2 linked regions of the Saccharomyces cerevisiae S288C genome follow. The protein of the gene in region 1 interacts with the protein of each later gene in a pairwise test. Each region holds a gene or a part of one and is shown on either strand. Other genes may lie near its edges.

Region 1 (3,984 bases):
ATCCTGTTTTAATAAATAAAGTAATTTGTGGGGAGACTTTGTCAGAACGCTTGAGCTGTATTCTATATTTGTTATTTTTATTCCCTTTGATTCAGCACAATCCTTGTACGTCAGTGCTAACTTTTCTTGTGATTCGCTTTTAGGTTTTATGATATTAACGATACTCACAACACCATACTTTGAGGTTAAATTATCAAAATGCCTGTCAAAAGCTCCCTGAGCTTCAATAGAATCTTTTGTTACCTTAATTTTTTTTCCATACAACAGTTGACTTTCTACAGATTCCCAAAAAAGAGGAATGCTTCCGTTCACTTGAGTATAAGAAAAAATAAACTTTTCTGTGGTTACTACAATTTCTGTCTCAACAAATAGCGACACTCTCCCATCTTCACTAATACCCTCCAATTCTAGCGTATCCTGCTTGCTCTCAGTCGAAATTCTGGAAATAATGGTTATAGAGGCTGTATTTGGGCCGTCTTCTATTAATGCTGTCTTGCAATAACCCCGAATTACAAATGTTAAGAACCCTGCGTTGGCAAAAAGTTGTTTCTCCTCATTTGAAATCTTGCTTCTCCAGTTGATTACCTCACTTGCTAAGTTAGCATTCCAAATAAATGATAAATCTTGATTATCTACGGTATATTCTAAGTTATGTGATAAACCATGGTTTTTCACGATATTAGAGATGTCGAAATCTCTAGAATAGTAGAATGTTCCATCACTAAACAGTTTTTTCAGGGGGCCGCAAGGATGCTCATGAATCAATTTATCATAGTTTTGCTCTGATCTCTCGCAGAGGAGGTAGTCGAAAACATCATTTTCTAAGCTGTAAAAGTCAACATCCAATACTTTATAAATGCTCTCCGAAGGCCTAACTTGATGATCTATCAGTTTCCATCGAGGAAACCCAACATTCTGAACACCAGATATGACGGCAACATATATATCACCATTAAGACAAACGAGCCCTAATAATCCATTAAATATGCAACTTTTGACTTCGAGATAGTTACTATCACTTGAAAGATCTGTGTCAGGGTAGGACTTGATTGTTACGCTAGGAGTTTTACTTAATTGACGCTGCTGAGAACTGGCACCTGGTATGCTGCGCAAACGCTGGAAGGATAAACAGTAGTTGTTGGAAGATATTACAATCGACCGTGATCTTCTACCGATGAAGAGTCTCATTGTAGTGAAATGTGCTTCGAATTCATACGATTAACACAACTTTATCAATATTTGCTGACTTAATCCTAGAATGAAATAGAAAGGCTATTTGATTTGTGTAGATATTTGTTCCAACTTTCCGGTTTACAAATGTTTAACAAAGGGATTCGTTTAGCAATTAGGCAATGCTAAACAAGAAGGAAAACAGGAAACCCTGAAGGAGATAAAACGACGTCAAGAATAGAAGATAAAAAAAAAGGGACATTAACAGGTTATATTGAAACTCAATTCCTGCCTAACCTTCTAAATTGAGAATTTAGAAACGGTATCGCTTATTCTGAATTCCTAAAACACCCATCCCTTTTAAGTAAAATAATAATACGTGGACTACGTAGATGTGGACACTCAATTTACTTACTATTCTCTATGGTCATATTGACAATAAACAAAAATACAAGAAAAAAAAAACTACAGGAAAGATTTGTCATAAATTGTACACTACCACTTGAAAACGACCTTTGGCATATTTATGGCAGATAAATTAATGGACAAAAATTTTGAAGAACTGTGCTATTCATGCCGCACTGGTGATATGGACAATGTTGATAGATTGATTTCCACGGGAGTAAATGTGAATAGTGTTGACAAGTTTGACAATTCGCCACTTTTTCTGGCTAGCCTTTGCGGGCATGAAGCAGTCGTGAAACTTCTTCTACAGAGAGGAGCCGTCTGTGATAGAGACAGATATGAAGGAGCTCGATGTATTTATGGAGCATTGACCGATACTATCAGAGATACCCTTTTAAGTTATGATATATCCAAGGCTGTAGATGTCAAGCAACCCTTTGCTACTCATATCTCATCGATGTATAATGACGAAGGCTTCCTTAAAAGAGATATCACATTCAGAGTTTCGAATGGAAAACTGTTCACAGCGCATAAGTTCTTATTATGTGCAAGGAGCGAAATTCTAGCAGAAAAAATGGTGAATGAGTGGGCAAAGCATGAAATTGTTTCTCTTGAAGTGCGCCCAGATATATTTGACATATTTTTGAAATTTCTTTACTTAATTCCGATCCTGCACCAAATTGAACCGGGACAATATGAAGAACTTATAGAGCTATCTAGTAAATTTGATATTGAGTTATTGCCCGAATTTTTAGACAAAGCAAGGCATACCGCCGATCCTACGGAAAAGTCGAGGTTAATGTCAGATTACCAATATAAGTTTACCGAGGTTGCAAGAAGTCAACTTTTAATATTTGTGAACAATTGTATCTTTAGATCTACTGTTGATCTTGCTAATAGTGAACGACGAGTTTTTTCCTTGATGAACTGTCCAGCTTATCCGGATGTTCAACTTATGGTAAAAAACCGAAATGGAGCCATTCGAATATACCCTTGTCACCTGGCTGTTTTGAGCCGCGCAGAATATTTCAAGGTGATGTTCACAAACAACTTCAAGGAGAAAGTTACATATATCAAAGCCAAGCACGTTACAGGAAAGTATAATAGTATCATTCCACAGCTGACATTACCCAATTGTGAGTTTGAGGTTGCCGAAATTATTCTCCGCTACTTATATGCAGATAATACAGACATTCCTTGGATGTATGCCGTCGATGTTTTGTTACTTGCCGATATACTTTTAGAAGACCGCTTAAAAACTATCGCTTCTACAATTATAACACAATCAAAAGAGTTTATTCAGCAATACAATGTTTTTGACGTACTCTATTTATCATGGGAAATAGGAGTGGAACGCTTAGAACAATTTGCAGCTAAATTTATAGCTATACATTTGCAAGAGTTATATAAAGATCCAGAGATTAAAAGGGCAATTATGTTGAGTTCACAACGAATTTCTCTCCGCCAGGAAACTGATACTATTGAACTAGTGGATGACATTAGGTACTATTTGCTCCGAAAATATTCTTTTGAACCGGATGATGTGGAGCTGTTCGAAAACCAAGACGATTTAGAATACCTAAAACAAGTAGGGTATTTGGAGTACAGAAAAGATATGGGTATGTTAGATAATATCCTAGCTGATCTGGAACTTGATGTATAATTCCGCATTCAATAACCTTATGTATTTTTACGCGTCACTGCGAACGGATGAATATTGCCAATGACTGCTGCGCACTCTTAAAAAATATAATGACAATTATAATAAGAAGTATGATACTTTTTCTGTAAAAAATATATATACATATGATTCACGTGAAAATTTTTATATTTTTAATTAAATTTTTATAATATTATAAATTATTATAATATTGATATTTAAAATTAAAAACAAATTATTAATGGTTTTGTTTTCCGAAATGTTTTTTATAATTATTACTTCAGAATAGTTATTTTCACGAATACGAGATACAGGGTAATGAAAACAGGTGTTATCCAAAAAAAAAAATTGATATATTTTAGATACTTTACATACAGAGGCAAGCTTCAGCTGTAGCCAGGTACATAATATTCCCTATAAAGTGATCAATATTTTTTAACGAAAAATTAAAAAAAAAAATCCTTGAATAAAGGAATGAAAATATTGTAACAAGCGATGACATTTCTTTTTTTGATTGTAGTTGTGGCATTTTATATTTGCTTTTGCATTTACCCTATTCTTGAAGGTTTGGATAGACAAGCGAGATAACACCAGTTGTCCTTCAACTTATTCAAAGCAGCAGCTCACTTAATTATTATTAAGTATACACATGAAAGCCTTGTGTTTATTTCGAATCTTTTTCTTGGGTAGAACTTTTAACGTTGTCAGACGGCATGACAACAGGTTTTTGGGAAGTAGATCTAATATTT
Region 2 (4,678 bases), on another chromosome or scaffold:
GTTTTTTTAAATCGATAAGCGTATTGATTTTTTTCAAAAGCTCCTCTTGTCTTTCCATTACATCAAATGAGGGCATCACAGGGCGAGAAGGTAACGATAATTCTTGAAGAATGGCGAGAATTTTGTTCTGCAGCGCAGGTTTGAAGGTCGATAATTTTGTAGATCTTAAGTATACACCCGGCGATAGCTTCTCACCATGCGTAATCACACCTAAAGCCTTCCTTTCATCTGAATTGAAATCTTTCAGCAATTGTTCTGCATATGCGCTTTCTGACTTTCTTTTGAGCGCCGTTTGCATTTCCTGTCTTTGTCTTTTGGTTTTCTTGGGGGAGAGATTTTCCTTGACTTCTGACTTTTTTACATTCAGTTGTTGAAGTTGCCTATGTTGGGCAAACTGCTGTTGCTGCTTCATCCAAGGATTTTCAGGGATGTTCAAATCGTGCTTCCGCTTTCTAGTTTTATCTGCTAGAAGCGCGTTATATAACTGAGACATTCCCTGAGAGGTAAGGTATTGTGTAATTGTCTGATCTGAATGTGGCGAGTCCAACAGTCGGAGTAATGATTCTCTTTCTGCAAGTGTTCTCTTGGCAGCCATTTCAAATTTTTTGGACTCTACTACGAGTGCCTCTTCTTCAGCAATTTCTGCTGCAGAACGAGAAAGAAGACGCTGTAAATACTTTTTTCTCTCTATCTCCTTTTCAGCTGAAAAATTCAAAGAAGATAAAAGCGGATTGCTAGGATCACTTGCTTTAAAATAATTCCTACAGGTGTAATAAAATTTTTCTTTGAGATCTTCAAGTGTTCTTGAATTATTATAACTGTATCTGTCAAAGATCAGGAACCAACGTAAATCGTATTTTTTGCAGAGATTGAACAGGTATTCTATTTCTTCAAAAGACCAGCTATTTTTACTTTCATCCTTCTTTTCATTAGTAAAGTTTTCGTTATGGTTTTTTTCACTTTCTACGCTTTTTTGAGTTCCTTCGTTTTCATTCATAAAAGCCTCGTACTCCTCCTTGGTGAATGATGGAATAGATAAATGCTGATTGAACTTAGAATATGGCGATTCTTTTGGTGTGTCTCCTATTAATTCTTTGGAACCCTTGACCCAATGACGCAGAGTCACAGAGTTATTAGCTTTGAACTCTACAAATGACCAAGGAGATGGCTTGGACGTCGAAAGCATTTTTTCTTTAAAGTTATTTCCAGACTTAATAACAACGGGGGGTTGGTTCTCTCCTAGCAGGTTAAATAGTTCTCTTTGCATGCCCGTCACTTGAGGCTTGGGCCGGTTGGCTGCCGAGGACGAAGGCACTGATACCTGGCCATTAGTTGGACTTCTGGATTTTTGCTTAATGTTTAGTACATCAAAGATGTCTGATGATGACATATTACCTGTGGTTTTTTTACTAAATTTTCGTATTATCGGAGAAATATGTTATGAATGCTTGTTGCTATTAAAATACAAAGTGGATTCTTGATTTATCACTAAATAGCTACCCGGAGTTGGCGCATCGCAACTTCATTAAATAAGTTCGAGTGTGCGTATTCTAATCTGATTCATATAAAGTATACTCTAAACGGGCTAACTCAAATCTGAAATTAGGGCTACTATATGATAACTAATAAGAAAATAAAGATAAGTGTCCCAGAAAAACTCGGTTTGTCAGAAGAATCTTTTGAGGAATCCTGGGAAACAGTTAAATATGCCATTGATCATATATACAGCGATGACATGGCCGACCTTTCCTTCGAACAAGTGTACAAGACCATTTATACTATCGTTTTAAATAAAAAGGGGCCAATACTTTATAACAGATTGAAAGATTATTTAATCCAAAAATTAGCGCTTTTGAGGGAAACGATAGTCAAGGACAATACTCATGATTATGAGTTTCTTGGAACTATGGCACGGTTATGGGAGGTGCAATGCCATTGTTTTAAAATAACGGGAGACTTAATGATGTATATGGACAAAGTTTATTGCAAACCAAATAGATGCATGGAGGTATACGACATGTGCCTCGATCTTTTCCGAATCGAAATATTGCAAAAATGCTCATCTTCTCTCATCTCAGCACTGATATCTGATATAGAAAGGATTCGTAATTTAGGATCTGTCGACTCCGAACATACTAGTTTGTGGAAAGTACTAATAGGAATGATGGAGACATTACATGACAATAGAGATAGTTTTTTCTTAACCGATTTTGAGCCGGTTTTGATTAGCGCGACAGAAGAATACTACAATAAAGCTATTGATATTGAATTATTAACGCCAATTGAGAGCCTGGAAAAGATTAGGAAGTTAAGGCAGTTTGAAAGTATGCTAGACTCCTCTTTTCTAAATGTGGATTCTCATAATAAGTTGAAGACTGTATTAGAAAATGTCCTTATATGGGGAAAGTTGAGTGATATTATTGAAGATCTAACGCACGAAGCAATGGTAATTTCAAATGGAAAGCTACTCCAAGAAATTTATGACTTGTCAAGCGAGGAAAAATATCGCGTTACTGTCATTGAATCTATTAAATCTTACATCAATAAAAATGCCATAAATATTCCTTTTAATGAAGGTAACCGCAAAAAAGGGCAGAATGCGATTACTTGGTCTTCGGAAATTGTAGAGCTATATCGCAGTCAACACTCGTTTTTGGAAAGTATTGATTTTGGTTCTGTTCGTCTTAATAATTTGACCGGGGATGTATCTAATGCAATACTTGGCGATGTTTTCTCAATGTATTTCTCTAAAGAAGGAGCATTACCATCTGAGTATCTTTCTACCTACGTGGACCATTGTATGAAACGAACCAAGGAAAAAGATGCTGAAATAGTGAAGATCAAGCAAGATTTGCTTGATAGTACCAAATTAATCGGACTCCTAACTGAGAAGGATATATTTGAAAAGATTTACAAAAAACAACTCTCCAGAAGATTACTGCAGCAGAGGTCTTTAGTGGAAATTGAAAAATGGATGGTGCAAATGATAAAGAAGGTTCTAGGAACTTTTTTTACCTCAAAATTGGAGATAATGCTGCGAGATATATCTTTATCCTCTGAAATGTATCAAGCATTCCAACACTCAACAATCAACAGCATAGAATATTTGAGTTTTGCACCACAAGTTTTGACGAGAACGAGCTGGCCCTTTCAGAGTACTAATCCAATTGATGAAGGTATTTCACTACCTCCTAGAATGTCACAAATTTTAGCTGGCTTTGAGGGCTATTACAGCTTAAAATACAAAGAAAGAGTGCTAAAGTGGGCTCATCATCTAAGTGTAATTGAAATTGGCTGCCAATTTAATAGCGGTTACTACGAAATAAGTTTTTCTGTTTACGCTGGAGTGATTTTCCTTCTATTTGAAGATTATGAAGAATTAACGTTGGGGGAAATATATGAACTAACTCATATTCCCATAGATGACGTTAAGTCTCTTGTAATGTCAATGTCGACAATACCCAGATGTAAGATTTTGAAAAAATCATCCAGTTCAGGAAATATGAAATTTTCAGTTAATTATTTCTTTTCTTCTCCAAACAGGAAAGTGAAAGTGCCGGTTATTGCATGCCCTCTACCATCTCAGAAATCAGATAATTTGGCAACCGCAAGTTCCGTGGACACTTATGATAATGAAATTGTTATGGAGCTTAGTGCTATTATTGTTCGTATCATGAAAACAGAAGGTAAGCTAAGCCATCAGCAATTACTTGAAAGAACTACGAAACGGACACAGTCTCGGCTCAGTCTTACACCGAGCATTTTGAAACGAAGCATTCAGCTTTTAATAGAGAAAGAATACATCCAGAGAAACGCAGATGACCCCTCTTATTACCATTACCTTTCCTAATTGCTTATAATGAAAATCACAGGTATAAGGTTTGCAGAATGCCAACAGTATATATAGATGGCAGTTCCTATCCGGCTGCCAGAGCGAACAATATTAAGAGGATATGCGTCGATACTAATTGAATGTTCATCCTGCATTCCTTAGTGAAACTTTCAAAATATATAATAACATAGTTATGGTAGACTATATATCCCAGTCAAACTTGAATGTAATGTGGAGTGGGTAATCGATATCTCTTGAAGTTTATTATGCCTCATTATATTTTTATAAAAAACTTCTAGGAATTTGTTGAGTCAAATAATTTCTTTCTTAATCATTAAGTAAGTTAAAGTTACGAGCCTTTCAGACCTGCGTAGCACTGCTTCAAAGGAACTATTATCAATAGCAGCGCCTTGCTCTTTTTTTTTTTTCAGATGCTTAGCGGCCGTATTTCACTTTTCCTGGTAGAAAAATATATGTTGAAATTTACGGTATAAGAGAAGCTCACCAAAATTATTATCAATAAAGCGGCACTTTTAAATTTGGTATTCTTCCCTGGTTGTCAAGCCTTGGTTTCCCTTTATTTGATAGTATGAGCGAAATAAATAATGAAAATCTAGAGCCAACCTCAAGTACAGTAGCTGAGTCTACAGAAAGCAAGAATAAACACATTCGTAGCGCTTTAAGAAAACGAAGAGGTAAATTAAGCGCCCAAACTTATGAGGAAGATCAAGAGGCTATTTTATCATCTCCTTTATTGACTTCAACACCTAAAACAGTCTCCAGGTCATTAGTGAGGTTATACCCATATTTAATTGTTGTGGATAACTTTCTAAGTATCATCACTTG

The links.
Region 2: the proteins of YIL001W (region 1) and CUL3 interact in binary tests that used the Saccharomyces cerevisiae proteins (3 or more experiments, as listed by UniProt).

Annotation. Positions count from the first base shown.
Region 1 is NC_001141.2:352,244-356,227, forward strand, and holds YIL001W (uncharacterized protein), read left to right. Parts: upstream 1-1,696; coding exon 1,697-3,238; downstream 3,239-3,984. Other genes in the region: phosphoinositide 5-phosphatase INP51, read right to left, coding at 1-1,188; SGN1 (Sgn1p), read right to left, coding at 3,900-3,984.
Region 2 is NC_001139.9:498,517-503,194, forward strand, and holds CUL3 (cullin CUL3), read left to right. Parts: upstream 1-1,615; coding exon 1,616-3,850; downstream 3,851-4,678. Other genes in the region: SWC4 (Swc4p), read right to left, coding at 1-1,390; PEX31 (peroxisome biogenesis protein), read left to right, coding at 4,422-4,678. UniProt on the Saccharomyces cerevisiae protein: As part of the CRL3 E3 ubiquitin ligase complex; polyubiquitylates monoubiquitylated RNA polymerase II subunit RPO21 to trigger its proteolysis; plays a role in global genomic repair.